7 linked regions of the Macaca mulatta genome follow. The protein of the gene in region 4 binds, or shares a complex with, the protein of the main gene of each other region. Links are inferred from orthologs where the notes say so. Each region holds a gene or a part of one and is shown on either strand. Other genes may lie near its edges. The genes, in order: POLR1H, TAF1A, POLR1F, POLR1B, POLR2H, POLR1E and POLR1C.

The links.
Region 1: POLR1B (region 4) and POLR1H share a complex: the UniProt entries of both Homo sapiens proteins name them as parts of the pol I pre-initiation complex. The link is inferred for Macaca mulatta from reciprocal best matches to the Homo sapiens genes POLR1B and POLR1H.
Region 2: POLR1B (region 4) and TAF1A share a complex: the UniProt entries of both Homo sapiens proteins name them as parts of the pol I pre-initiation complex. The link is inferred for Macaca mulatta from reciprocal best matches to the Homo sapiens genes POLR1B and TAF1A.
Region 3: POLR1B (region 4) and POLR1F share a complex: the UniProt entries of both Homo sapiens proteins name them as parts of the RNA polymerase I (Pol I) complex. The link is inferred for Macaca mulatta from reciprocal best matches to the Homo sapiens genes POLR1B and POLR1F.
Region 5: POLR1B (region 4) and POLR2H share a complex: the UniProt entries of both Homo sapiens proteins name them as parts of the pol I pre-initiation complex. The link is inferred for Macaca mulatta from reciprocal best matches to the Homo sapiens genes POLR1B and POLR2H.
Region 6: the proteins of POLR1B (region 4) and POLR1E are in contact, whole or in part, in a cryo-EM structure (PDB 8A43), measured with the Homo sapiens proteins. The link is inferred for Macaca mulatta from reciprocal best matches to the Homo sapiens genes POLR1B and POLR1E. Residues at the interface, in NP_061887.2 of Homo sapiens: Lys254, Ser258, Phe259, Ser260, Tyr262, Gln263, Gln266, Ser295, Thr296, Gln297, Ser338, Thr340, Glu341, Ala532, Cys535, Pro541, Ile542, Asp543, Gly544; in NP_071935.1 of Homo sapiens: Gln27, Ser29, Asn30, Gly31, Tyr69, Thr76, Leu79, Lys80, Cys81, Leu84, Cys85, Met109, Gln110, Pro111, Leu112, Phe113.
Region 7: the proteins of POLR1B (region 4) and POLR1C are in contact, whole or in part, in a cryo-EM structure (PDB 7OBA), measured with the Homo sapiens proteins. The link is inferred for Macaca mulatta from reciprocal best matches to the Homo sapiens genes POLR1B and POLR1C. Residues at the interface, in NP_061887.2 of Homo sapiens: Arg713, Gln715, Lys761, Ala762, Glu765, Arg766, Gly767, His770, Tyr774, Gly816, Val848, Arg872, Pro874, Glu900, Asp901, Phe904, Glu906, Gly908, Lys967, Gly970, Tyr971, Asn972, Phe973, Tyr974, Arg978, Tyr980, Ser981, Gly982, Ile983, Ser984; in NP_976035.1 of Homo sapiens: Ala70, Asn74, Arg77, Arg78, Leu81, Ala82, Gln102, Asp103, Glu104, Ile105, His108, Leu112, Lys220, Asp221, His222, Ala223, Thr230, Ser232, Tyr233, Arg234, Leu235, Asp281, Thr282, Phe283, Ser284, Glu286, Arg289, Arg301.

The regions. Positions count from the first base shown.
Region 1 is NC_133409.1:152,983,541-152,987,791, reverse strand, and holds the start of POLR1H (DNA-directed RNA polymerase I subunit RPA12), read left to right. Parts: upstream 1-1,451; coding exon 1,452-1,596; intron 1,597-1,842; coding exon 1,843-1,943; intron 1,944-2,150; coding exon 2,151-2,260; intron 2,261-4,251. UniProt on the Homo sapiens protein: Core component of RNA polymerase I (Pol I), a DNA-dependent RNA polymerase which synthesizes ribosomal RNA precursors using the four ribonucleoside triphosphates as substrates. Can mediate Pol I proofreading of the nascent RNA transcript.
Region 2 is NC_133406.1:80,432,301-80,436,364, reverse strand, and holds the start of TAF1A (TATA box-binding protein-associated factor RNA polymerase I subunit A), read left to right. Parts: upstream 1-1,264; 5' UTR 1,265-1,327; intron 1,328-2,482; 5' UTR 2,483-2,494; coding exon 2,495-2,612; intron 2,613-4,064. UniProt on the Homo sapiens protein: Component of the transcription factor SL1/TIF-IB complex, which is involved in the assembly of the PIC (pre-initiation complex) during RNA polymerase I-dependent transcription.
Region 3 is NC_133408.1:108,575,004-108,578,503, forward strand, and holds part of POLR1F (DNA-directed RNA polymerase I subunit RPA43), read left to right. Parts: intron 1-1,735; coding exon 1,736-1,944; intron 1,945-3,500. UniProt on the Homo sapiens protein: Component of RNA polymerase I (Pol I), a DNA-dependent RNA polymerase which synthesizes ribosomal RNA precursors using the four ribonucleoside triphosphates as substrates.
Region 4 is NC_133418.1:22,638,852-22,642,351, forward strand, and holds part of POLR1B (DNA-directed RNA polymerase I subunit RPA2), read left to right. Parts: intron 1-72; coding exon 73-244; intron 245-1,469; coding exon 1,470-1,751; intron 1,752-3,500. UniProt on the Homo sapiens protein: Catalytic core component of RNA polymerase I (Pol I), a DNA-dependent RNA polymerase which synthesizes ribosomal RNA precursors using the four ribonucleoside triphosphates as substrates.
Region 5 is NC_133407.1:96,503,350-96,507,299, forward strand, and holds the start of POLR2H (DNA-directed RNA polymerases I, II, and III subunit RPABC3), read left to right. Parts: upstream 1-1,150; 5' UTR 1,151-1,282; coding exon 1,283-1,355; exon of another isoform or gene 1,356-1,363; coding exon of another isoform or gene 1,364-1,364; intron 1,365-2,754; coding exon 2,755-2,838; intron 2,839-2,921; coding exon 2,922-3,015; intron 3,016-3,950. UniProt on the Homo sapiens protein: DNA-dependent RNA polymerase catalyzes the transcription of DNA into RNA using the four ribonucleoside triphosphates as substrates.
Region 6 is NC_133420.1:62,122,870-62,126,795, forward strand, and holds the start of POLR1E (DNA-directed RNA polymerase I subunit RPA49), read right to left. Parts: upstream 2,801-3,926; 5' UTR 2,701-2,800; coding exon 2,625-2,700; intron 2,055-2,624; coding exon 1,951-2,054; intron 884-1,950; coding exon 807-883; intron 1-806. UniProt on the Homo sapiens protein: Component of RNA polymerase I (Pol I), a DNA-dependent RNA polymerase which synthesizes ribosomal RNA precursors using the four ribonucleoside triphosphates as substrates.
Region 7 is NC_133409.1:138,597,048-138,600,547, reverse strand, and holds part of POLR1C (DNA-directed RNA polymerases I and III subunit RPAC1), read left to right. Parts: intron 1-305; coding exon 306-425; intron 426-514; coding exon 515-667; intron 668-864; coding exon 865-1,014; intron 1,015-1,171; coding exon 1,172-1,288; intron 1,289-1,426; coding exon of another isoform or gene 1,427-1,545; exon of another isoform or gene 1,546-1,762; intron 1,763-2,584; exon of another isoform or gene 2,585-3,500. UniProt on the Homo sapiens protein: DNA-dependent RNA polymerase catalyzes the transcription of DNA into RNA using the four ribonucleoside triphosphates as substrates.

The sequences.
Region 1 (4,251 bases), on a different chromosome or scaffold from region 4:
CAGTTAAGTGATAGGGCTTGTCACTCTTCAGCAGTTTGCTGAGTTTTAACCCTTTAACTATGGTGTTCTCTCCATTATCACAGAGAAAGGCAGGTGGGAGCCTCTCCCAGCGAAAAGACTACAGCTTGTGTCCTTCACAGGACAAAATAGTGATGGCTCCAGAACTTTCATATGAAGGAACTTAGCACAGCTATCAGAGTAGGTGGTGGTGGGAGGACTAGCAGGAAACTAGTAAACAACGACAAGCTGCCCCTTCAGGGAAAGTTTCTACTTCGAATATAAGTTACAGAGTAACGAAAATAGCAAGATTTCCGAAAGAAACTTATTCCCATGTTTTATAAAAGATCAGGGAAATGTCAGCTGTCCACTTAATGGATGACGAATAATGAATTAAGAGTTCGATAAGCGGCAGGCACAACTAAAAGCCAAACTCGACCTAAGTCTTATGAAATCCTACTTAATGAGCTTCTTGACTACTGCTAGCCTCACTTATCTGGCAGGAGTCGAAGGAGGGGAAGCCCCAAGCTCTTCTGTTCTACCACCTCCAAAGTCCTGAGCCCCTTCTCAAGTGTCCCACTTCATCCCTGCTTCCTTTCGTCCCGTGGGACTAAGGATTCCTCTGGCCTTCACCCTCACCACTTGCTGTCCCTCAAGAAGCCGACTCACCCCTTTCCAAGCGCGGTGAACCGTCCGCAAAGCACACAGGCCGGCTGCGCTCTGCAGAAAGCCCACGCTCGCCAGCGGGACCCAAGGAACGCTAGAACTATACATGCCAGAACACTTAGCTTTGTTTTTAACTACTGTGCAGCCGCAAAAGGGAAATACCAGCTCAGGACCCAGGGGAGTTGTAGTTCTCTAATCCAAAGAAGTCATTATTCAGCAAAGTACGGTTTTCAGGAGGATATTCCCCCGCGATTGGGTTCCCGTAGGATGTGAAACAGAGAATAAATATCCCAGGATTCGGTGCTGGTGGGAAAATTTGCTGGAAGCGCAGCATTGGTTACCAATTTTGTGCTCAACGTCTCAGTACCAGCCTGAAAGTTGAGCCCCAACCTCCCTTAGAAGTGGTGACTCTCCATCTCTAAGGCTTCCGAGACACGGTACGCAATTAATTATGACGTCACAGCCAATCGTCAGCGTGAAAGCGTGACGCTCTAGCCGGCTCTAGCTCGCTGCCCCGCCGCGGGCGCAGAGCTGGCGCTCTAGCCCACGGAGTTGGCCAGCTCCTCTCGCCGGCCCCAGGAAAGGGTTCCAAGTCCTTTTAGTACCCGACGCTGTCTGGGAGTTCCGGGCGTTTCGGCTCCTTGGTCGCAGAGGCAGGAGGCGTGCGTGGGAGGAGGACTCGGGTTATATACTCCTACGTCCTGGGACGGAATAGTTACCACCTCTGGGGCAGGAACTCTTCTCTCTTTTGTTAATAAACTTCTAACTCCCTCCTCAGACCCGACTGCATGTCTGTCATGGACCTCGCCGGTACTTGCTCCAGCTTTCAGTCGGACTTGGATTTCTGTTCAGATTGCGGCTCGGTCCTGCCTCTGCCCGGGGCTCAGGATACGGTCACCTGTACTCGCTGTGGCTTCAACATCAACGTTCGGGGTGAGAGGCTTGTACACAGGGGTCCTGGCGGAGGGCCCAGGATCGGAAGCTTGGGGAACTCAAGATCGGTTGGGTTGAGAAGGGGATCCTAGAGCAGGACATCAGGCAGTTGTACATTTGGTTCAGCGATGAAAACTGAGGGAAAGGATATAGGGCCTCCTGGCCTAACCAGCCAGGGGAGAGGGGAAGTTTCCGGTGTCAGCTCCCTCAGGTTGTCTCCATAACCCGTCTTACTTGCCTGTGCAGACTTTGAGGGGAAGGTTGTGAAGACTTCAGTTGTGTTCCACCAACTGGGGACAGCCATGCCTATGTCGGTGGAGGAAGGGCCTGAGTGCCAGGGACCTGTGGTAAGTTAATGAGATCAAGAACTGGCTCCATAAGGTGGGTAGGAAAGAAATGGAGGAGTGATTGCAGAGATCTGGAGAGTTTTGTGCCCAATTCCAAGTGGGAAAAGATGTAAAGCATCGATGTTTGAGAGGCGTGATCGCCTGATTCCTGTGGGAAGTAAGGGTATGATATGACCTGGCCTCCATAACCCACCAGTTTCTTCCCAGGTTGACAGGCGCTGCCCTCGATGTGGTCATGAAGGAATGGCATACCACACCAGACAGATGCGTTCAGCCGATGAAGGGCAAACTGTCTTCTACACCTGTACCAACTGCAAGTGGGTATCCTTTCCCCTCCCTTTGCTCAGTCTGTTTGCTAACTAATAAACAAATCCAGTGATTTATTTTTTTGTACTAAACGGCTGTGTCCTTTCGTCCCATCCCTTATTTCTGTGCAGTTCTGGTAAGAGGGAGATTTGTAGTTTTTATTTTTTTAAATTACACTTTTTTAACCCTTTTTGTAACCAGTGAAATAAACCTTTTAGGTTTTTTTTTTTTTTTACGGACAGGGTGTTGCTCTGTCACCTAGCCTGGAGTGCAGTGAGGCAATCTTGGCTCACTGCAACCTCCGCCTCCTGGGCTCAGGTAATCCTCCCACCTCAGCCTCCAAAATAGCTTTGGGACCACAGGCACGTGCCACCACACCTGGCTTTTTGTTTTGTTTTGTTTTTTGTATTTTTAGTAGAGATAGGGTTTCTCTCTGTTTCCCAGGCTGGTCTTGAACTCCTGAGCTCAATCAACCCACCTCAGCATCCCAAAGTGCTGGGGATTACAGGCATGAGCCACCCTGCCTGACCTTCTTTTAGGATATTTAAAAGGAAATGAATAAAAAAAACCAGAAGAAGCAAGTATTGTTTAGTGGTCAGCGTCTTATACTGCAGTCTTCAACCGCAGTCAAGGTAGCTTTACTTTGGAGAGAATTAGTCACACATGATTTAGAGAACATGGGCTTTCTGAATGCTTTTAAGACCTCATCTTTGTCTTTGGTGTTCTGCAGTCACTATAGTATATCAAAATGTGATTTTCTTTTATTCTGTTTGGGATTTGTTGGACTTTCTGAAACTGAGAGTGCATTGTTGTTTTTTGTTTTTTTTTTTGAAACGGAGTCTCGCTCTGTCTCCCAGGCTGGAGTGCAGTGGTGTGTTCTCCGCTCACTGCAAGCTCCGCCTCCCGGGTTCATGCCATTCTCCTGCCTCAGCCTCCTGAATAGCTGGGACTACAGGTGCCCGCCACCACGCCCGGCTAATTTTTTGTGTTTTTTAGTAGAGACAAGATTTCACTGTGTTAGCCAGGATGATCTCGATCTCCTGACCTTGTGATCCACCCGCCTCGGCCTCCCCAAGTGCTGGGATTACAGGTGTGAGCCACTGCGCCTGGCCTAGAGTGGATTTTTTTTTTCATCAACCTTGGAAAATTATCAGCCATCATCTCTTTTAATATTCTCTTTCCCCCATGTTCTCAGTCCTCACATTCTGGACCTCTAATTAGTTACTAGAATGAGATTTCTCTCTTCTGTCCTCCATTTCTCTCGCCTTCTTTTCATATTTTCAATCGCTTTTCTCTTTATGCCACCTTCTGAGTAATTTCTTCAGGTTCCTCTTCCATGTCACTAATTCTGTCTTCAGTTTATTTCAAGTATTATTATTTTTTACTATTGTTATTATTTTGAGTTCTATTTAATTACTTTTCAAATCTCAATTTTTAAATAATTCTCAGTTCCTTAATAATATTTTAAATTGTTCCTTTTACTAGTCTTTATATATTTAAAATATTAAATGTGGTTATTATATTCTATGTCTCATAATTCTGATATCCGTGGATTTTGTGTGTCTGATGCTGCTGTCTGTTTCTGCTGTCTCTCTCATAGTGCTTTTTTCTTTGTTTTGTAATTTTTGACAATAAATTTGAGTTTTTTAGAACTTGAACTGTAGGAATTCTCTGAGGCCTTGGGTAAGTGTTGTATTCTCAGCATTTGTGTTTCTTTTCTAGGTGCCTTGAAGCACTATCAAGCTGGAATTACTTTAAATAAATTCTTGGCTTCATGTTTTTTGGAGCAGACAGATAGTATGAATTTGAGCTGCAAATCCATGTAAGGGCTAGCTTATGGCTAGAAATTCTCAGGAAAGAGTTTTCTCTCTTTCTACCTACTGAGACAGTCAAATTCCCCTTCTATAGAGTTGAATTTCTTTCTTTTCTTGTTCACTTTTACAAAAAAGGGCAGGCTTTTGCAGTTCCCAAATTTATGCACAGGATCTCCTATCAACCTTGC
Region 2 (4,064 bases), on a different chromosome or scaffold from region 4:
TAACTACTGCATATTGTTTATGAAGACAACATAGAATCAACTATTTGTAGCATTTTAAGGAATCCATGTACATTTTTTTTTTTTTTTTAAAGACAGGGTCTCATTCTGTCGCCCAGGCTGGAGTGCTGTAGTGTGATCACAGTTCACTGCAGCCTCCTCCTCCCCGGGCTCAGGTGATCCTCCCACCTCATCCTCTCGAGTAGCTGGGACTAGAGGCATGCACCACCACCCCAGCTTATTTTTTTAAATTTTTTTTGTAGGGACGGGGTTTCATGATGTTGCCTAGGCTGGTTTCGAACTCCTGAACTCAAACGATCCGCCTGCCTTGCCCTCCCAAAGTGCTGGGATTACAGGCATGAACCACCGTGCCCAGCCTCAAACTCTTACTAGACCCTTTAATTTCCCCTCTGATACTCTGATTCTACCCAAATTGTTCACCTTCACAGAGGAAACTCAGTGATTCGTGGGGGAGCTTATTATTTGTGCATCCTCATTTGTGGACAAAATTCTTTCTTGCTGTGACTTGAAAGCAGCCTCCCTTTAGCTTTCACTTATTAGTCCTAGTTCTGTTCTCTGCTGCTAAGAAAAAAGGTCTGATTCTTCTTTCACGGATCAGCCCTCCAAATGTTGGAGAAGCACACTGCGTTTCCTTAACCGTCTTACTTTTGACCCATATTTCATTTGTTTGTCTCAACGTCCCTCATGCAAGTTGAACCAGACGGGGTCCGCAGAACAATTTTTGCTGAGAAGGCAAAAGAAATTCTCGCCCAAATTGTGGAGAAGGGAGTCGAACCAATTAAACCCAAAGCTAAAACTGTAATAGAAAAGAACTTTCACGCTCGCAATGAACAGGATATGCATGGATTTGTCTCGTCACAGCCACTAGCCACGCCTCCACTCGTGCAGTGCGCCTGCGAGCCGAGCAGAAACCAATGGCCCATCGTAGTGAATTTCTCGTAGTGAAATTCTGCGCTTTAGAATGCTCCCTTCGCCCAGCCGCCGACCCCTCACCCCAATTTCCACTTTAAATGAAAGTCTCCCACTTTCTAGCTGAAATAAAGCTCGGGCAAAACTAATCGGAGAGAGGCAGTTCACTGTCACTTCCTGGGTCACTTCCAGAAGTCACTTCCGGGGTCGAGGCGAGGCCAACAATACGCCTGCTACCGCAGGAGTTACGAGCTGGGCCGCGCGCAGCCTGAATGCCTAAACCAGGTTTTGCGCATGCTCATATAAAGCTCTCCTAACCGTCTTCCGGTGGGAATTTATTCACGTGGTCCGGAGTCGGAGACTGAGTTTAGCTTTACTGAGGAGCTCTAATTTTAAGCGGGTAAGTGCCGCAGATATCGTCCGTGGTTCCTGCGTTTAAATGGGACGGGAAGGGGTGTGTCAGGATTCATCCATGTTCTCCTGATATTTCCTCCTAATACCTGAAACCCTTGGAGTCTGAGAACGAGAGAAGGGGCTAGAGAAGCTTTGGTTGCCGTGGCAACTGCGGGACACCAATTTGGATTTTTGAGGATTTGGAAAGGGAGGATTTGTGTAACTACGCCTCAAAATACATGATGAGTCAGATTCAAATTCATTTGTTACTTATAATTCATACTCGTAGCCACAAAATTTGATTTTAGAAGGTTTTCTCTGGGTGTAATGCAGAGAAGCAAAATCTGAGCCAGGGTAATTATTTAGAAAGCTAATGCAGTAATCTAGGCACTGTTTGAAGGGGTCTTGAACTAGGGTAGTGCTGTAGGATTGCAGAGAAGAGGGGAAATTGGGGAAATTTGGGAGGCAGTATCAGGGGCACTAATACTCGATTTCATATGGGGAATGAGGAAGGGGCCCTGAGCATCTTTAGGAGTAAGTCCAAACTCAGCTTGGCTTATTATTTTTTTAGGTTCGTTTCTCACCTTCCGCACCCCCCTCCACACACACCCCGACTTCTAGTCATGCTAAGTAGTTTAGTGTTCTATTTCCTAGAATAACGTCCTCACCTTTATTGTGATGTTAGGCAGGTTCTATCATTTCACTAAGCCCCTCAGTTTTTTCAATCTTAACATGGAAGAAAGTAATAGTACCCACCTCAGGATTGCTGTGGGGATTAAATTAGATAATTTATACTTCTGGTGCGTAGTAAGGGCCTAATAAATATTAGCTGCTAGTACTATTCTTATTATACTTCTCGTATTGTTTTGTTATTATACGTTTTGCTGTTTCTTCGTCTAGACCTGAGATTTTTTTAAATTAGAGGGGCAGTATCTTACTTATCTTTATATGGACTTGAAACATTAGTAGTTCGGTCTTTTTAATGTCTCATTCATTTTGGCTGTTGCTGACATAGTTAAATTCATTTTTTACTTTAAAAGAGCTGACAGGTATCATGCATTTTGCTGATCAAATTGTATTTATTAGATAAAAAGATAGCTGTTTTTCTGTACAACTCAGAAGACTGTGGATTAAGATGTACAGAAAGTAACTGATATCTCAGTTTGTAATAGGTATGAGTGATTTCAGTGAAGAATTAAAAGGGCCTGTGACAGATGATGAAGTGGAAACATCTGTGCTCACTGGGGCAGGAATGCATTTTCCTTGGCTTCAAACATACGTAGAAACTGTGGGTAAGTAAAACAGTAACATTGAGCCATTTTAACTTAAAATGTAAGGAGATGGTAAGATTCAATATGGATACAAAATCAATAACCAGGCTGGTTTAATTTTCAAGAGGAATATGTGGAGTGTTTTTAGGCTGTAAGCCAAAAAAAAGTGTTTTTTCTTTTAGAACTCTTTGACTTTGGATTAACAGTAGTCTGTATTATGCTAGATACACATTTTTTCCAGTAATACTTACTGAGCACTTTTATTTCTGGCATTGATTAAATATTGGGGAGTCATAGATGAAGAAGATACGGTCTCTGCCATTGAGGAAAACATGCCCAGGAAGTGTTCAAGAAGTTGCTGTTGAATTGCATTGAAATTATTTCAAATAGAATTGATCATGTAATAGATTTTTTTTTTTTTTGGAGACAGAGTCTTGCTCTGTTGCCCACACTGGAGTGCAGTGGCTAGATCTCGGCTCACTGCAACCTCTGCCTCCCGGGTTCAAGTGATTCTACTCAACCTCCCAAGTAGCTGAGATTACAGGTACCCGCCACCACGCCTGGCTAGTTTTTGTATTTTTAGTAGAGACAGGATTTCACCATGTTGGCCAGGCTGGTCTTGAACTCTTGACCTCAAGTGACCTGCCCTCCTCAGCCTCCCAAAGTGGTGGGATTACAGGTGTGAGTCACTGCACCCGGCCTAGATAAAAGAGCATTTTCCCTCATTTTTATCTAATGTAAATGCAAGCATGTTTTTCTATGGGATAAAATTTCCCCCATTTTTATCTAATATAAATGCAAGTATGTTTTTTTATGGGATAAATTCCCTATAATAATTTATTTAATATAAGTATAAATAAAAGAAGCTATTATTTGTATGCTGGCGTATTGAGTGGTTTACATTTGGGATTACATTTGAACCAGCATTTTACTTACTGCCCTTAAATATGTATTTTTTTGCCCAGACTTTTCTCCCCTTGACAGAGATTCCTTGGCTCCTAAAATTTCGCTTCCATTTTTTCTTTCGATCTAAGTATCATCTCATTTAATGATCTCAGTAAATTCTCAATAAATTTTTGTGCTAGGCAGTTTAGGTAGGAGGAAACTGAACCTCAAAGACATTAAATTCGTAAGTGGTGGTATCAGAAGGCAAATCCAGGTTTGTCTGATCTCAAAGCCTACACTTTTAACCACTGAGATATATTTTTTAAAATGAGACAATATATGTAAAGTACCTAGCATAGTATCTCATGCATAGTGAGTGTTGAAAAATAATAGTGCCTTTCCTCTCCTCATTTTAGTTTTGCTAGATTAATGCACGTGGCTTAAGGCAGATTTGAATGAATGATACTTCAGAGATAGTGCTACTTCATCCCTGGTAGGGAACTAATAATTTAAATTTCCTATAGTTATATCATACTTGGGTATATTTCTGTTACCAGTGTTCTATAGAAAGTCTGAGTCAGTCTGCAA
Region 3 (3,500 bases), on a different chromosome or scaffold from region 4:
TCTGCCCGCAGACCCTGACCTAAAAGACGGATGAATAAAACCTTCACTGACACACAGATATTCTGTTTTGCCAGTACTGCTGAGTGTCCGACCGCCTACACACCGAGAGAGGTTTGTCCCTGCCACTGGCCCTGAGCAGTTCACACTCCAGGCATTTATTTAGTATACAGTTAACAATATAAGTTCTGAGTCCACACAGTTGTGGATAATTAACATGGTCAAGAGAGTAGTTCTACAAATAATTAAAGCTCAGGTACTGAGGTTTAAAGTAAATGTCATTAGGGGGCAATATCTCTGGGCGACCTCCCCCCGCCCCACCCCCAGAGGGCCATCTGACTTAAAGGTTAGTTAATGGAGGTAGGGTAAACAGACTTAACTGGGGAAGCCTCTATTGTCCCTAGTATTTACCCTATAACTTAATGCTTTAAGGTAAGAACCGGCTGTCTTCAGCCTGTTCAATTATTACAAGCTATATAACCTTTTGGCCTTCCAAAAAGGTTTGTGACTATTCCCTATAACTTTCCCTAATATTTCCCTTTAATATTTCTGCCACTTTCATGAGTGAATCCCAACAACTTATCTTCCATTATAGTATGATACAGAATAGTTTTCCTCTCCTAAAAACTCCTGTGGTCCATCTATTCATGCCTTCCTTCTTCCCTCTGTTCCCTCTAATCCATGGCAACCACTGATCTTTTTACTGTTTCCATAGTTTTGCCTTTTTAAAGAAGAATAGAGTATGTATCCTTTTCAAATTGACTTCTTTCACTTAGCAATATGCATTTAAGGTTTCGCTATGTCTTTTTATGGTGAGAACTTATTTATCTTTGTTACTGAATAATCTTTTATTTTATGGATGTACCAGTTTGTTTATCTAGACCATCTGGAAACTACCAGTGGGAACACTAGACTTCTGACCATACCAGATAGGGAAGTTTTATTATGTCACATGTGTAAAGGGTTGCTGATGTTAAACAGCATTATATAGATGTCAGTATTATTTGCAGTTTTGTAATTCAGAAAATGTGAATTTTTAATATTTCTGGGTCTCATTCATATGCTTTGTATATATTGACCCTGAGAAGAAAAATAAGTTTTATGTAAGAGTCTCATCTTAAAATCATATAGCACATATTTTTGTTTTAGTTTTAAAGCTTCTAATAATACTTTTGTGATTTAGCCAAAAATAGTCATGGTCAATATTTACATATAAAGGGTAAGCTGTCTTCTAATGGAATGCTTGCATCATGCTAAATTAAATAAAGAATGCATTTTTAAGCTTTGAAATTTGGTCTATTTACAGAAACATAACATAGATCCCAGTTATAAAACACATATGAGGTCTTTTTATAGGTTATATGGGAGTATTTTCTGCATGGTTTCAATGTAGCTAAAGAGTAATAATCTCCTCCCCAAGGAATCCTGCAGTGGGGGGTTTAGGTGGTTTTTTTCTTGGACAGGGTGGCGGGGGCAGGTTAGTTTATCCAGTTAGACAGTTAATGTGCAATTACTTATATAATAAAGTTTGAGCTTTCTCAAAACCCAAAGGTATTCTAAAGTGATGTTTTGGCATGACATGGGGTAAGTTTTAATTGAGGTAAACTTTTTCCATATTAAATTAGACCATTAACTTGATGTTTGCTCTTTGAAGATTATTTGAAGCTTGTAAAGTTTGGTTCACCTTTTAACTTTGTGGATCTGTTCTTTATGTTATGCTCTTCCTTCTTCTTCCCAGGGTATAGTTAATAAAGTGTCTTCTAGCCACATTGGCTGTTTAGTACACGGGTGTTTCAATGCCTCCATTCCTAAACCTGAGCAGTTGTCAGCTGAGCAGTGGCTAACCATGGAGATAAACATGGGTGATGAACTAGAATTTGAAGTATTTCGTTTAGACTCAGATGCTGCTGGAGTATTCTGCATTCGGGGAAAACTAAATATCACAAGGTTAGTTTATCATTACATAATTATCATTAGGTACTTAATTTCTATTTAATTCTGAATTTAGAGAACATAAGCCTCTCTTTAAAAATATCTGTTTATAGGAATATTCATGCTTTCAAACCATAAAGTCAATATAAACAATACTCTTTTTTTTTTTTTTTTTTTTTTTTTTGAGACGGAGTCTTGCTCTGTCCCCCTGGCTGGCGTGCAGTGGCGCGATCTCGGCTCACTGCAAGCTCCGCCTCCCGGGATCACACCATTCTCCCGCCTCAGCCTCCTGAGTAGCTGGGACTACAGGCGCCCGCCACCGCGCCCGGCTAATTTTTTGTATTTTTAGTAGAGATGGGGTTTCACTGTGGTCTCGATCTCCTGACCTTGTGATCCACCCGCCTCGGCCTCCCAAAGTGCTGGGATTACAGGCGTGAGCCACCGCGCCCGGCAACAATAGTCTTAAGTAATCTGTAACGGTGCATCAAATATTCTAAAACACTGACTAGCTAATTGATCTGTATTTTAATATCCAGTAGCTCAATTTTGCTGAGTATTTTCTATTTTGTTGTTAACTTTTTTTTTTAAATTGACCTCTAAACTTGAAACTACTGAAAGCACAATTACCTTCCTATTGGCCTGCTTTGTTTTTACACACAAAAAATTGTGTTGATCATTGTCATCTGTGCCAGATATTTTAATTTCTGTATTAGTCTGTATTGAAATTATTGTAAGAATTACTCTGATCTTGAGCTTGATTCCATGGGAGCCAAGTTTAAAGGAAGGAGGAGAGAGACAACTCTTAGAATGCTGCTATTGCTAATAATTTTTTCTATATTTTGCCTTAAAGTTACAAGAGTATGGGTTGAAGTCTGGAACAGTTGTTCAGTTTCTGTGATGACAGAAATATAGTTTATATACATAATACAGCAGCCTCACTATTGAGCATTGAAATGGGACTAAGTCTGACTGAGGAACTGAATTTCTAGTTATGTTGTTGGTATTGATTAGGTACATGTGCCTAGTGCTACTGAGTAAAACTGAAGTTCTGGAGACAGAGCTACTTCATTGATCCATGTTTTATTTTAGTGGTATAAAATAATTCACAATGTTAAAGTAACACTGTCTTAGTATCAGCTAAGTAGAACAATGGACTATTATTTGAAACAGGATTAAAACAGTAGACTGGAAACTCCATTACTTTGATACATACCAGATCGTATTTTCTATTAGATGTCAGTGGTTTGGTTAATAAGCCTAGGTATTGTGGTGTTTAATGTTCAGTGACCAAATTTTTCTGAAACAACCCAAAACTTGGAAGACATGTTTTGACAAGATTCTTATGTCATTTTTATGTGTGGAAACAGTCTGGGAGAAGTTCTTCATAAAGAAGGAATTTAACATTTAATATTAAATTTAACATTTTTCAATTTAACATTCAGCAGCCCATGCATATTTTAGTGGATTGAGGGATAATGGGATAGAATATTTGGAATTTATGCCATGGTTATGTGTCTTGTACTGCTGTCATTATTTAGAAAACCTTAGCCTGTTAGGGTATCTTGATCTCA
Region 4 (3,500 bases):
GATTATAGATGTGAGCCACCACACCTAGCTCACATACTATTTTATATTAATTTTTTGTTTTTCTTATTTCAGGAAAAACTGGAAGGTTGGTTAGTGTCTATTAAAATAGCTTTTGATAAGAAGGCTCAGAAGACCAATGTTTCCATGAACACTGACAATTTGATGAGGATTTTTACTATGGGAATAGACCTTACAAAACCATTTGAATACCTTTTTGCTACTGGGAATCTGCGTTCTAAAACAGGTAAAATTAAATAGAGCATTTTAGTTACGTTTTTCAAACTATTTGCTTAATGTAGATTTGCCTGTCCTTGACAGGTTCTTTTTAAAAGCAACCCCCCCCAAAAAAGTAAATTTCTCGTAACTATGACTTTGATGACTATTGGTCTGAAGGACTTTAGACAAGGTGTCTGTATAGCTAAAATTTAATTCAAATAACCAAATACATTTTCTCTGCCTCCTTCTAGAAAATGAAAAGACCACTTAGACCTCTGAGGAAGGCTTACCTAATAGGAATTCTGCATGGGTTGCTGTACATGCCCATCTCTAAACCAGTTGCCTTGCCTCAGAGTGACCTGAGAGGCCAGGTGTGGTGGCTCATGCCTGTAATCCCAGCACTTTGGGAGGCCAAGGTAGGAGGGTGGCTTGACTAGGAGGTCAAGGCTGCAGTGAGCTGTGATTGCACCACTGCACTCCAGCCTGGTGACAGAGTGAGACCCTGTCTCAGCAAAAAAGAGAATGACCCTGGAAACTTAAAAAGTGGTAATTGGGAACCCAGAAATTTTTTTTTTTTTTTTTTTTTTTTTTTGTGAGTCAGGGCCTCACTGTGTCACCCAGTCTAGAGTGCAGTGGCAGAATCATGGCTCACTGCAGCCTTGACCTCCCGGGCTCAGGTGATCCTCCCACCTCAGCCCCACGAGTAGCTGTGACTACAGGCACAAGCCACTACACCTGGCTAATTTTTGTGTTTTTTGTAGAGATGGGGTTTTGCTATGCTGCTAAGGCTGGTCTGGAACTCTTAAGCTCTGGCGAACTACCCACCTCGCCCTCCTGAAGTGCTGGGATTATAGCATTAGCCACTGTGCCCAGCCTTTTTTTTTTTTTTTTTTTAAACCCCTGTTACTGATGCCGATTCTTTCATTAGCCTTCTTACTTGCTTGTCTATTATCTGACCCTCTCAGATGAATTTAACTACTTGCTATTTTATTAACTCATTTAATGTTCTCCTACAAAGGAGGTCATAGAGGAGATAGGGAACTAGTTGGGGCTCATACAGTTTGTGAAATCTGGGGATTATTTTACATATTTTTTTGCGAACTCTTTCCACTCATCAGAGCTAGGAGAATAAATGTTGTAATAATTCATTCTGTAATCTGTAGAGTGCTCTGAGGTTTTGTCGTCACAAAGCCTCAGAAATTTCCGTTTTTTAAAAGATTGGCCCATTTTTGAGTGACTTTTGTTTTATTAAGGTCTTGGCCTCCTACAAAATTCTGGACTTTGTGTTGTGGCTGACAAGCTGAACTTCATACGCTACCTCTCCCATTTCCGCTGCGTGCACAGAGGGGCTGATTTTGCCAAGATGAGGACCACCACAGTACGCCGGCTGCTGCCAGAGTCCTGGGGCTTCCTTTGTCCAGTGCATACCCCAGACGGGGAGCCCTGTGGCCTGATGAACCACCTAACTGCCGTATGTGAGGTTGTCACACAGTTTGTCTATACAGCATCTATTCCGGCTTTACTCTGCAACTTGGGTATGTAGTGTATAGTGATAAACATCTTGCTTGATTTTTTTTTTTGTTTTTTGTGTTTTTTTTGAGATGGAGTCTCGCTCTGTTGCCCATGCTGGAGTGTAGTGGCACGATCTCTGCTCACTGCAAGCTCCGCCTCCCGGGTTCACGCCATTCTCCTGCCTCAGCCTCCCAAGTAGCTGGGACTACAGGCACCCGCCACCACGCCCAGCTAATTTTTTTGTATTTGTAGTAGAGACGGGGTTTCACCATGTTAGCCACGATGGTCTCGATCTCCTGACCTCGTGATGTGCCTGCCTCGGCCTCCCAAAGTGCTGGGATTACAGTTGTGAGCTACCGCGCCCGGCCAAGATTACGTGGTTTTTAACCTGTTAAGTTGTGCTGCTTTTGGAGATTCAGCAGAGACTTTCTGTAAGAATTCGTTTTTACCCTTCTGTGCAGGAGTTGCGCTGCTTTCTTGGCTCCTCTATAGAAGGCTGAACGCATTCTTTGAAAGTGAAAACAGGAGAAACTGTTATAGGTGTTTTGTTTTCTTTCAAAAAAAAAAAAAAAAAAAGAAGATAATGGAAGTGAGGATCGCTTGAGCCCAGGGATTTGAGGCTGCAGTGAGCTGTGATTGTGCCACTGCTGCACTTTAGACTTGGCGAGAAAGTGAGATCCTGTCTCCAAAATAAAAAATAAATCAATGAATAAGAAGGATGCCAAAGCATCTGAAATAGACTAGTCATTAATATTGGAAGCATAGAAGCTATTGAGTAGTTTTTTGGGTCACTTCTCCTTGCATCTCTTGGTGGATCTTTGCATTTCTAAGTAGAAAACAGTGTTGGTTTGCAGGAGGACAGTTTAAAAGATTTTCCAGTCTACCCTAATGTCATCAGATGATAACCATTTTTCCTGATAACCTTACAGCTGCTGTCTCTGCCTCTGCTTTGGCTAGAAAGCTGTCTAATTCTTGGCTTGATACTTGATTTGAATTTATCTTCATACCTAAAGACGTCAGCTTTCTCTGCAGTTTTCTAGTCCCAGGGTTCTCCAATTATGATTTGGAGACTAGAAATGTTCTGTCTTTGGTGGTCTGTGGACAGGTTCACCAGTGGGATTAATATTCATACAGTAAAACTTCCAGTTCATGGGGATCAGACGATAGGTATTCTCAAGCAACTAGAAGGGCATTGACTCAAAGTTCTGCTCAAAAGTACTTCTCCCAATTAGAGTGGCCTGGCCAGGCGTGGTGGCTCATGCCTGTAATCCCAGCACTTTGGGAAGCCGAGGTGTGCAGATCACTTGAGGTCAGGAGTTTAAGACCAGCCTGGCCAACATGGCAAAACCCCATCTCTACTAAAAATACAAAAAAAAAAAAAAAAATTAGCTGGGTGTGGTGGCATGTGCATGTGGTCCCAGCTACTCAGGAAGCTGAGGCAGTAGAATCGCTTGAATCCAGGAGGTGGAGGTTGCAGTGAGCCAAGATTGCACCACTGCACTCCAGCCTGGGTGACAGAGTGAGACTCCATCTTAAAAAAAAAAAAGAGAGAGAGAGAGAGAGAGCGTGGCCTGTAGGAAGAGGGCCCCACAGAAAGTAATCAAGAAATACTCAAGATTCAGACGATGTAATCAGTGTAATTTGAAGGTTTATCCTCTACGAGGAAAATAATTTTGTTACTGGTGATTCGAAATGTCAAAGTCCAGGAGAGGGTAGAAAGGAGAAAAGAATAAAGTGGAGAGGTAGAAAATAGATCCAACTGCAGAAAAAGA
Region 5 (3,950 bases), on a different chromosome or scaffold from region 4:
CCGGAAGGGGTAGGCCGGAGGGAAGGGAGCTCCAGGTGCCGGGAAGTCCACTTCTGGGACGCGGGCGTGGGTCGCTTCTCCCTGGTTGGGCCCAAGGAGGAACCAGAGTCGCTGCTTCCATCTCTCCGCTTTGGGGGAACCGCCTGCTGGTGCTCTGGGTTCTCTATCAGGGGCTGGTGAAGGATAGAACAGATGGCAGAGCGCGCGCAGGGTGGATGGGCAGCATAGAGATAGTGTGAGAGGAGCGAGGGCAGCGCCCAGGAAACGCACAAGTGTGCGGGACAGCCAGCACCAGGAGGAAGGGGCATTTGGGAGGCAGAGGAGGGCCTCAGGGGGCGGGGGCAGTGCCCGGGAAGGGGGAGCCTTGTGATAGAAGCCAGTACCCAGGAGGAAGGGCCAGTGTGAGGGAAGAGCTGGTGTCCAAGGGACAGGGCAGTGCCAGGCTGAAGGGGCACGGAGGGGATCCGTGTCCAGGAGAAGGCAGTGGAGGACTAAGTTGGAGGGGTAATGCCCGGGGGAGGCGGGTGGCGGGAGCCAGGCTGAGGGGGCGGTGACGGGGAAGACAGCAGGGCCTGGGGGAAGCGGGCAGTGGTGGGAGGGTGCAGTACGAGGGGAGGGGACAATACAGGCTTTCCTCTTCTCCATAGCGACATCATGGCAAATTCCCAAACTGGACGGATCCGGCTCGGGTTACATCCAGCAGGGCCGAGCCGGCCCGGGCAGGCCCCGGGGTCCGCGGTGCCGGCTGGAGGGGCTGGGCACCTCTGGGGCGGGGTTCTGCTCCACCTGCCCTCGGCGCGGACTGTGCCCTAGGCGGGCACGCAGACCGGCGGGGTAGGGCTAGGGCCCGGCTTCTCTGGGCCAAGGATCAAGGTCCCTGCCTGGGTTAGGCCCCCACGACTTCCAATCTTCGGGACCCGGCCTCTGAAGAGGGCGCAGCAGAGCCCCAGCTGAGCGCTAGAACCCGCTCTACAGCCGCGGGAGGTTGGACCTATTGTTTCCCCGCCCTGGGCGGGGCCACCTGGACGTGAGACCCGCCCTCAACGCCGAAGCCTCTCGGGAGCAATCTTTTGGGGCGGAAGTTAAGTAGCCCCGAGCGGGAGTCTGTGGCGGAAGTGGGCGCGTTACCACTTGTTTGTGCGCATGCGCCACTCTTGTCTGGCTGCCGCGCATGTAAAAGCTGGTTTTGCTCTTCTCCCCTCTTCTGCACCAGAGCGGGTGCGCGTACTCCCAGCTGTGGTCGCCCGCTCACCCCTTCTGCTGCTCTCGTGGCCCCCTCGCGATGGCGGGCATCCTCTTTGAAGATATTTTCGATGTGAAGGATATTGACCCGGAGGGCAAGAAGTTTGACCGAGGTAAGTAAAGTAGGTAGGGGCGATTTGGAGGAAGAGGCTAACCTCGCGGACATGCCCCTGGACCCCGTGTCCACCCAGCTCTTGTGGCCTGCCCCTACCAGCAGGTCCTGATGTAGGGACCTCCCTCAGGAAACAATTTATGGATGAGAAAAGGGAGACTCCCGAGCTTTCTCTGGCTTCACGCATGCCGTGCCCGGTGCCTAGGTGGCCTTTTGTCATGGTGCTGGCAAACTCCTGGGCATCTTTATAATCGCTACCTGCTCTGTGCTAGACACTGTCTTGTGAGACCAGCCTGGCCAACATGGTGAAACCCCGTCTCTACCAAAAATACAAAAATTACAGGCGGGCGCCTGTAATCCCAGCTACTTGGGAGGCTGAGGCAGGAGAATTGCCTGACCCTGGGAGGCGGAGGTTGCAGTGAGCCAAGATTGCGCCGCTGCACTCCAGCCTGGCAACAGAGCGAGACTCCTCAAGAAAATGAGAGTCCTCATGAGGTGGGTGGTGCCTTCCCCATTTTTTTCTGAGAGAGTAATCCACCCAAGGCTTCACAGCGAGTAATCTGACTTCAGAGCCTATATTCTTGTATTGCCCTCATAATCCTTAGCGCTTTAAGTCTTCTCTGAGTTAGAGTTAGCTGCTTGGTATATCCTTTTTTTTTTTTTTTTTGAGACAGAGCCTCGAGCCCAGGCTGGAGTGTAGTGGCACGATCTTGGCTCACCACAACCTCCGTCTCCCGGGTTCAAGCGATTCTCTGCCTCAGCCTCCCAAGTAGCTGGGATTACAGACATGCTCCACCACGCCTGGCTAATTTTGTATTTTTAGTAGAGACGGGGTTTCACCACTTTGGCCAGGCTGGTCTCGAACTCCTGACCTCAAGTGATCCACCTGCCTCAGCCTCCCAAAATGTTGGGATTACAGGCGTGAGCCACTCCACTGGCCTACACCTCTTAATTTTGTCATCTATCAATAATTTTCTTTTTGATGTCTCATTCTTTGCCTGGAGACTCAGATGTTTTCAAGACGGATACCAGTTCTTATACATCTTGATAACTCCCCTCAGCACAGTGCCTGTCATAGAAAGAGGAAACCTTTGGATGATTGAATAACTTGCCCAGAGTCAGGTTCTCAGTCATCCAGGCAGGCCTAGAACCGGGTATTATTTGCTGCTGAAGTATCTTTGGTTGTTTTCTGGGGATTACGTTCACTTGCCACAGTTTTTCTCCCCTTTTCCTTCTTGCATGTCTGGTTCTGATGGAGCCTGCATTTCTATGAGAGCAGATGAGAGACCAGTGGTTGTAGACTGGGTTAGATTGAGTATTCTGTTGCATACAATCCCACACTGTAGGATCTGCCTTGGGCCTGGCAATACCTCTGTCACTCTTTTCCTGCTTCTCCCCAGTGTCTCGACTGCATTGTGAGAGTGAATCTTTCAAGATGGATCTAATCTTAGATGTAAACATTCAAATTTACCCTGTAGACTTGGGTAAGTATTGAACACAGACAATAATAAGAGGCATTTTGCCGCTTCCGCTATTCTTCACTCTCTGATATTGCTGTTATTTTCAGGTGACAAGTTCCGGTTGGTCATAGCTAGTACCTTGTATGAAGATGGTACCCTGGATGATGGTGAATACAACCCCACTGATGATAGGCCTTCCAGGTGAGGTAGTGGAGAAGGTAATACTTGGAATATGCCTTGAGAACTAAGTAGATAAGTGATATAGAAAGACTCTTCTTTAATTCCTGGAATAAATGATGATCAGCAGAATCTGAGTAACCTTAAGGAAATTTCTGCACTTAAGAATTCAAACAGGCCAGACACCGTGGCTCACACCTGTAATCTAAGCACTTTGGGAGGCCGAGCAGGAGGATTGCTTGGGTACAGGAGTTCAAAACCAGCCTGAGCAACATAGCGAAACCTCACTGCTACAAAAATAAGAAAAAAAGAAAAAAAAAAAAAAAAGGCTGCACATGTTGTCATATGCCTGTAGTTCCAGCTACCTGGGAGGCTGAGGTGGGAGGATTGCCTGAGCCCAGGAGGTTGAGGCTGCAGTGAGCCATGATTGTACCACTGCAATCCAGCCTGGGTGACAGAGTAAGACCCTGTCTCAAAAAAAAAAGAAAAAAATTCCAACAACCAGGTATTTATCTATAACAGTGATTACATGCTTGTGAGTTGTAGCCTTTTGAAGGCTGAGGAGGTGACTGCTGAGTGCCCTAGGCTATGTGGGTCTTGTGTCTTGGGAGGGAGCTTGGTGTGATGGAAAGACTTTGGCACCCCACTTGAGTTCATTTCTCAGCTCTATCACTTATTTGTTGAGTAACCTTAATCTCCTTCAGCCTGTTTCCCCATCAGTAGAATAGAGATGATCATGATCATGCCTAGCTCACGGGGTTGCTGCGAGGACTAAATGACATCATGTTTGTTTGTAATGTGCCTTTTTTTTTTTTTTTTTTTTTTTTAGACGGAGTCTTGTTATGTCGCCCAGACTGGAGTGCAGTGGCTCAATCTCGGCTCACTACAAGCTCCGCTTCCTGGGTTCACGCCAGTCCCGAGTAGCTGGGACTACAGGCGCCCGCCACCACGCCCGGCTA
Region 6 (3,926 bases), on a different chromosome or scaffold from region 4:
GATTCTGGTAGTTGATCACATTTGGGCTCGCTGCTGTACTGTAATGGAAAACTCTTTTGGGGTGTAGGAATCTAGAATTACACTAGAATTTATGGCACAACAGTTTTATGGAGGCAAAATCAAGTAAACGGGAAGGAGACCAGTTGGAACTAGGGCATCGTTGAGAGGGGAGAGTGCAGGGTTAGTAGTTCTCAGCACCTATACAGCAATCTGACCTCTATTGGAGTATGGTCCAGTAAGGCTCAGAAAGGGCCTGGTTTGTAGTTCATTGTTGGGTACCATCACAGGGCCCTGTCTGCATCATGCCAGCCCCCGAGAGTGATATAGTTGAGGTTGGACAATCTTCATTGTACAGACTAGGGGTCAGTGATGGGCAGAGTTACCCAGCCACTCAGTCAAACAGCAGCACAGAGGGATGGGAATCCCAGGCTTCTCTTTCCCAGCCCAGAGCCTTCAACACTACCAAGTTCTTTACCTGTCGTTAGTTCCCAGGTAAACTTCACACAAGCTTTGACCTACTAGTCACACATTCCAAATTAATGGAGAGAGCTGCCTTTTGGAATAAGACAGCTATAAACAAACAAGGTTACAAATGAGGTTTTTAGGAAATTCAAGTTATCTTTCCTTTCCAGCAATGTCTACAGGTGAGGGGAAGGGCTCTATGTCTAATAGGAACACAGGAATCACCTAGTAAACCGCTCTAGATGGCTCCTACTGCCCTTAAAACAGACAGGAAACAGCAGTGCCAGTGCTGCCACCACTCCCAACCCCATCACCCTTCCCGCTGTCCCTTCCCCTGCCATTACCTGCACAAAGTGTTGCATTTGAGGGCTCCAGTACCAAAATTGTTTCCCACATAGGAAAGTCTATCTGTTTCAGCTGCCTAAAATGCAGAGAGGAGAAACTCCATTTACAACCAATGTTGAAAGGTATTAAGTATCATCTCTCTTTTCTACATTTGCTGAGGCTTTTGAATCCAGACTCACAATGGATTAGAACTAGTTCATCTCTGGCAGATGATCCAGCTCCACTCTCTCTAAGGGAATATGGGGTGTCCCTGCGGGGGAAGCAAGACAGCTTTTGGAAGAGAAGCCTCAGATGGTGCTAGCTTCTAAATGGTATGAAAAGCTCTTGGGGGAATTCTATCACAAGACTTGAGAGAGAGGCCCTGGGCTTCTAGCACTTATAGGCATGCAACAAAGTGATTCTGTAAGCAATCTCTCTTTGGCCCATCTCTCCCATGACTGTTCTTTGTATACTCTCAGGACCATGGCTGATTGACTCCCCAATCATAAGCAAGCTTTCCTGCTTCTCTGCATTTGTCCTCGCTATCCTTTTCACTTAGAACACCAAACCTTGACTGCCAAACCCTCGTTCCAGCCTTCAAGGCTCAGCTCCAACATGACCTCCCTAAGGAAGGCATTCTGGCAGAGACCTCTCCTCCCACTGAGCTCACTCTGCCCTGTAATCTTCCGCACGTGGCCTCAGAGCTTTGTGTAAAAGTGTCCCTCACAGCCAGTTCTCATCTCTCTAGAGCAGAGGTTCTCAATCCAGGGAAATCCACTCTGGTGCTACTGGCATCCAGTGAGTAGAGACTAGGGATGCTGCCCCCACAGCAAAGAATTATTGGCCCCAAAAGTCAATAGTCCTGAGGTTAAGAAACCCTGTTCTAGAGTATGAACTCCGAGTGGGGCTAGGCCTGATTTGGCTGTTTTCCTAGAAGCTTGCAGCACAGGGATACAGAGGAGGTTCCATAAATGCTTGTTGAAAGAATAAATGAATGAAAGATGGAGCCTGTCCCCACATCCCAAGTTGCTGGGCATCAGAGTTCTTCAAAGGTCCATTTGCTACTACTCTCCTGTTTCTCCCCTCACTCCCTCCCACACCACCCACTCCCAGGCGCCTTCTGAGCCCTGCAGAGTGGAGACAGCTGGCAACTGCTTCACTTACCAGGATCCGTTGATTCCTCTTCCTGGGGTTGGTGGAATCTTTGTTCTCATACAAGGTAAAGCGCATGTTGCCCGGACTCTGTAGCTTCCCGTTGGAGAACTGGACTGTAAGAGTGCAGCCCAAGAATCAGGTGAGAGCAGAAGGCCACACAATGTACGGTGGGACTAGACTGTCACTGGGAGGGAGTGAGTGTCAGAATGGGGATGGCAAGGAAGCTCGGGTCCTGACCCAAAGGGAACTAGAGGAGATCCGGGGCCAGCTGAGAAGAGGGGTTAGGGAGGTGGGAGAACCCTGGGGAGGGGCTGTGACAGGGGGGAATGTCTCGCGGAAGGAGGCTGACAGCAGACGCCTGGTCCACACCTAAAGTGACAGAAGGAACCCCTGCCCAGTGAAGAGAGGGAAACGGGGGAGGTGGGAGACCTGGTGGGTGAGGGGACAGCAGGGTCCTGGACACAGCCCTGGGGAGCGGGTGAGTGGGATGTCCCAATCCGGCTGGGCGGTAGTGACAGAAAGACGGACAGGGCAGCCCCGACCGAGCCCAGGAGAGTGGTGGAGACTACAGGCGTCCTGGCCCCGCTGGGGAGAAGCCTAACGGAGTGCGAGGGGACAGCTGAGATACCGAGACGGAAGGGGGGAGGGTTAGAGGAGCACTGCTCCAGCTCTGCAGTCTTTACCCAGTACAGCTCTCTGGCTCCCGTCGGGCGCCCCACAATACTGCCACCTCGCACTCGGCAACACCTCCGCCGCCATCTCGCCTGTCTGTCCGCCAAGTACAGCAGTTAAGACAGCAGTAGCCACAAACCCTCTTTTAAACACGCGGGAGCCTAGGCCGCGCGGCAGGCCGGAAAAGGCGTGGCCCCAGCCGGGCACCGCCCACAGTGCGCGAGCCGCGTGTCCCCGCCCCCCGCGCGGAGAGGCGCGGTCTCCGCCCACAAGGTGCCACATATTCGCGCGACTGGCCGAGGCGCAGCACGTGATTAGCTCAGCGCTCGCTTGCACTCTGGGTGTTGTAGGTCCAGAGCTTGAGGCGTCCTACGGCTTCAGCCTAAGCTTGCTGTGAGCCTTCTTCCGGCTCAGCACAGTCTAGAGAGAGTGTCGTCTCTCTCCTACCGTGACAAACACGTCTTCCCAAGACCTGAAAGACCAAGTTCAAATTTAGAATTCTCTAACAGGAACTCCTTGAGCCCCAACTAAATGTGGCCGCTGGCAAAAAGCCGCCCCTCTCTAGGACCTCCCACCCACCCACGTGGACATCCAGTTCTAGGTACAAGCTTTGTCCACAGTCCGACAAACAGCGCCCCGCAATGCGCTGTGGCGTGCACACATGTGGCCCGATCAACCCTGAGGTGATGGAACAGAAGCCCAACCAACCCCAGAGCCTTTGGGCAGGAGATTCTGGACTGAAATAGAAGAGGGAGTCCGAGCTGATAGACATGTCCCTTTTTCACTGCGGATTCAACCATTCTTCTGCACGGGGAGTTTTCAGAGCAGAAAAAAGACAAAAGCAGGACCTTTAAGCATGGACCCTGGCCGAGGCCCCCTTTGCCCAAAGATGCGTGCTATTGAAGGGCAAGAACTCAGGCTGACTCCCCTCTGTCTTCCAAATCACCTTCTTTCAGAACTCTTTTCCTTCCACACATCCTCACACCCACCTCCAACACCCAGAATCCTAGGAATAATCTTAAAGCCTGCAACTTGTCACTCTTTTCTAATTACCCAGTCTCAAACTTAAAGAAACACTGCAAGAACTTTTTTTGCCCTGAACCATTTAGAGTAAGCTGTCAACCTGATACCCTTTCACCCCTGAAGACTATAGTATTTCCTACAGACAAGGACGTTCCCTAAATAACAACACAGCCATCAGCAAATTGCCAGGCGCAGAGGCAGAGGCAGTTCTATCCCTTGATTCTAGGAATTTGAGACCAGGCTGGGCAACATAACAAGACCCTGTCTCTACAAAAAAATAATCATTAGTC
Region 7 (3,500 bases), on a different chromosome or scaffold from region 4:
TCGCCCAGGCTGGAGTGCAGTGGCCGGATCTCAGCTCACTGCAAGCTCTGCCTCCCGGGTTTTTACGCCATTCTCCTGCCTCAGCCTCCCGAGTAGCCGGGACTACAGGCGCCCGCCACCTCGCCCGGCTAGTTTTTGTATTTTTTAGTAGAGACGGGGTTTCACGGTGTTAGCCAGGATGGTCTCGAACTCCTGACCTCGTGATCCGCCCGTCTCGGCCTCCCAAAGTGCTGGGATTACAGGCTTGAGCCACCGCGCCCGGCCAGATGTTTACTAGTTCTTAAGAGCTCCCTCCATTTGTGCAGGAGATGAAGACGGCACAGAGATAGATACCCTACGGTTTCGTCTCCAAGTCAGATGCACTCGGAACCCCCATGCTGCTAAAGATTCCTCTGACCCCAACGAACTGTATGTGAACCACAAAGGTAAGTAGTGGTAGGGTGAGGAAGAGGCCCCACCTGTGGGTGGCTGCTAGTTTTAGGAACTGAAATCTTTTGACATGTTTTTCCTCCAGTGTATACCAGGCATATGACATGGATCCCCCTGGGGAATCAGGCTGATCTTTTCCCAGAGGGCACTATCCGACCAGTGCACGATGACATCCTCATTGCTCAGCTGCGGCCTGGCCAAGAAATTGACCTGCTTATGCACTGTGTCAAGGGCATTGGTGAGAACCCTGTGTTCCTTCCTGGGAAGAGGGGTAGTTTGGTTGCAGTGGGGCAAGCTGACTAGGGAACTCAGCTGAGATATTCCTAGCAGGTAGAAAGCCAAGAGCATCGTGCTTTTGCTGTTAGCAGCTTAGGAAGAGTATTCTTCCTAATCCTAGAAGGGTTTCGTATAGGCACTTTCTCTCTTCCTCTCCAGGCAAAGATCATGCCAAGTTTTCACCAGTGGCAACAGCCAGTTATAGGCTCCTGCCAGACATCACCCTGCTTGAGCCCGTGGAAGGGGAGGCAGCTGAGGAGTTGAGCAGGTGCTTCTCACCTGGTGTTATTGAGGTGCAGGAAGTCCAAGGTATGGTATTTGGGGTGCTGTTCAGGTTAGGACCTAAATTATATTTTCTTTGAAGGTGACAGAAATAAAAACCCTGGGTTCCTAAAAGTATAACATGGTTTGCTACCAAGGGGCAAATTAGAAAAAAGAATAAAAAAACGTGGTTTGTTCTCATTAGGTAAAAAGGTGGCCAGAGTTGCCAACCCCCGGCTGGATACCTTCAGCAGAGAAATCTTCCGGCATGAGAAGCTAAAGAAGGTTGTGAGGCTTGCCCGGGTTCGAGATCATTATATCTGTGAGTATGAAGTGGTGAGATGAGTGGGCAGTACTCTTTGGTGCTGCAGCTTCCTTCCAGTCTAGATGTGAAGTTTGAGTAACAGGGGCTTTCTACAGGCAAGCCCCGCCTAGGCTAAAGTGTCTCTTTGATCCCCAGTCTCTGTTGAGTCAACGGGGGTGTTGCCACCAGATGTGCTGGTGAGTGAAGCCATCAAAGTACTGATGGGGAAGTGCCGGCGCTTCTTGGATGAACTAGATGCGGTTCAGATGGACTGAGCTTGGATGTTCCTGAGGCAAGCTGAAGCTTTGGGTTCTGACTGACCCACCCTACAGGACTGCTGTACAGAGAGCCCAGTGTGACTAGGGATCCTGAGTTTTCTGGGACAATTCCAGCTTTATTTTTAATCAATACATTTTGTTAAATGTGCCATAAAATGAGACTTTTAGGCCTTTGTAAGGCCTTAGATGTAAATAAACTCATGTCCAAACAAAACTTTTTGAGACAACTTTTATATTTTTTGAGACAGAGTCTCACTCTGTTGCCCAGGCTGGAGTGCAATGGTGCAATCTCTGCTCACTGCAACCTCCTCCTCCTGGGTTCAAGCAATTCTCTTGCCTCAGCCTCCTGAGTAGCTGGGACTACAGGTGTGTACCACCACGCCTGGCTATGTGTAATTTTTTGTATTTTTAGTAGAGAGAGGGTTTCACCATATTGGTCAGACTGGTCTCAAACTCCTGACCTCAAGTGATCTGTCTGCCTTGGGGCCTCCCAAAGTGTTGGGATTACAGGTGTGAGCCACTGCGAAAAACAGGGCCTCACTTCAGAACTGGTTTGACCTTTAGCAATTAAGAACATCAGATGTACACTCCAGCCTGGGTAACAGTGAGACCCTGTCTCAAAAACAACAAAAAACACCTCCTGAGAATTGGCAAATTAAGGTGGTTTCTGGGAGTACAGCCAAACCCCTAGAAAAACATTCAAGCTAGAGTGAATGCACCATTTCACCTGTCTCCCGGATTACCAGGGAAGTTCATGCCGCTATTGACAGCTCCAACAAAGAACAGTAGCAATTCCTTTGGGCCAGGCCCAGCAGCCACATATGAAAGACACTGTGAGAATGGTATGGGCTGCCTAGTCTGGGTGTGTCAGGATAGAAATCCTTTTCTAACTGGCACACCATTTCAGAAAGCTTGAAAGACCAGGTTCATCAGTCACATTTCTTCCTGTTCAGTCCCCTTTTGCAGGGTGCTCATGGAGTAACTCTGGAGTATGTCACTGGTTTTAAGACTAGGTTGAAAAAGGCAGATGGGTCCCTTTCTGTATGAAACTGAGACTTTTACTGACATGCAGATGTGCTTTGGAGTTAATGTTTCTACAAAAAGTTTCTATAAACAATAGAAAACTTCTAGCATGAAGTCACAGGATGTTAAAAATATTACAACACAATAAATACAACTACACCCTCCACAGCCCCAACCAGACAGGAATAGGCAGCTATCAGGTTTGGAGGGAAACACTCTTGAGATCGCCTTCACAATCCACAGGAACCCAGAGCACCACACGGGAAGAGGGAGCAACATGAGACTCCAACTTCTGCTTCCTCAGCTTTGCCTCTTCCCAATCTGACCCTGCCTCTGGCCCACACCAGCTAAAAACTATAGCTTCAGTCCACTTCGGCTCTCATGGAAACCCTCTTGTCAGTGGATTGGTGGACAACAGGTCTGTTTTTGTGCAGAGCACATGGACACACTGGTTTCTGTATGGATTAAGTCTGCCTTTATGGCCAGTAATAATGTCAGGGCCAGGTCCCATATCCGAGTCCTGTTTATAGGGCCTTTCAGTGACCTCTAGAATGGACTCACAGTACAGGTTGTGATGCGAAGGCATGTATTCTTTTCTTTTGGAGATGGTCTTTGAGAAAAGTAACCAGGGACCTGAAAGACCATGAGATTGCGGAAGGCACCTGGTCTTAGTCCTAGAAGACCAGTGGCTTTGCTAGCTGCTTATCACAGATATAGCCTAGTTGGTCTGTTTTATCCTTGGATGACAATGGTGTCATGTGACACTCTCTAGGGTACTGTGGCTCTTGTGCCTGAGTGGACCTTGAGGCTGGGGAAGCCAAACTGAGGGGTCATTCATGGAAGGGCAAGATGTGTGAGCTCTAAAGGGGATGTTAGCACTAAAGACTGCCCAGCCCTGGTCCTTGGAGGTACTATACTTGACACTGTGC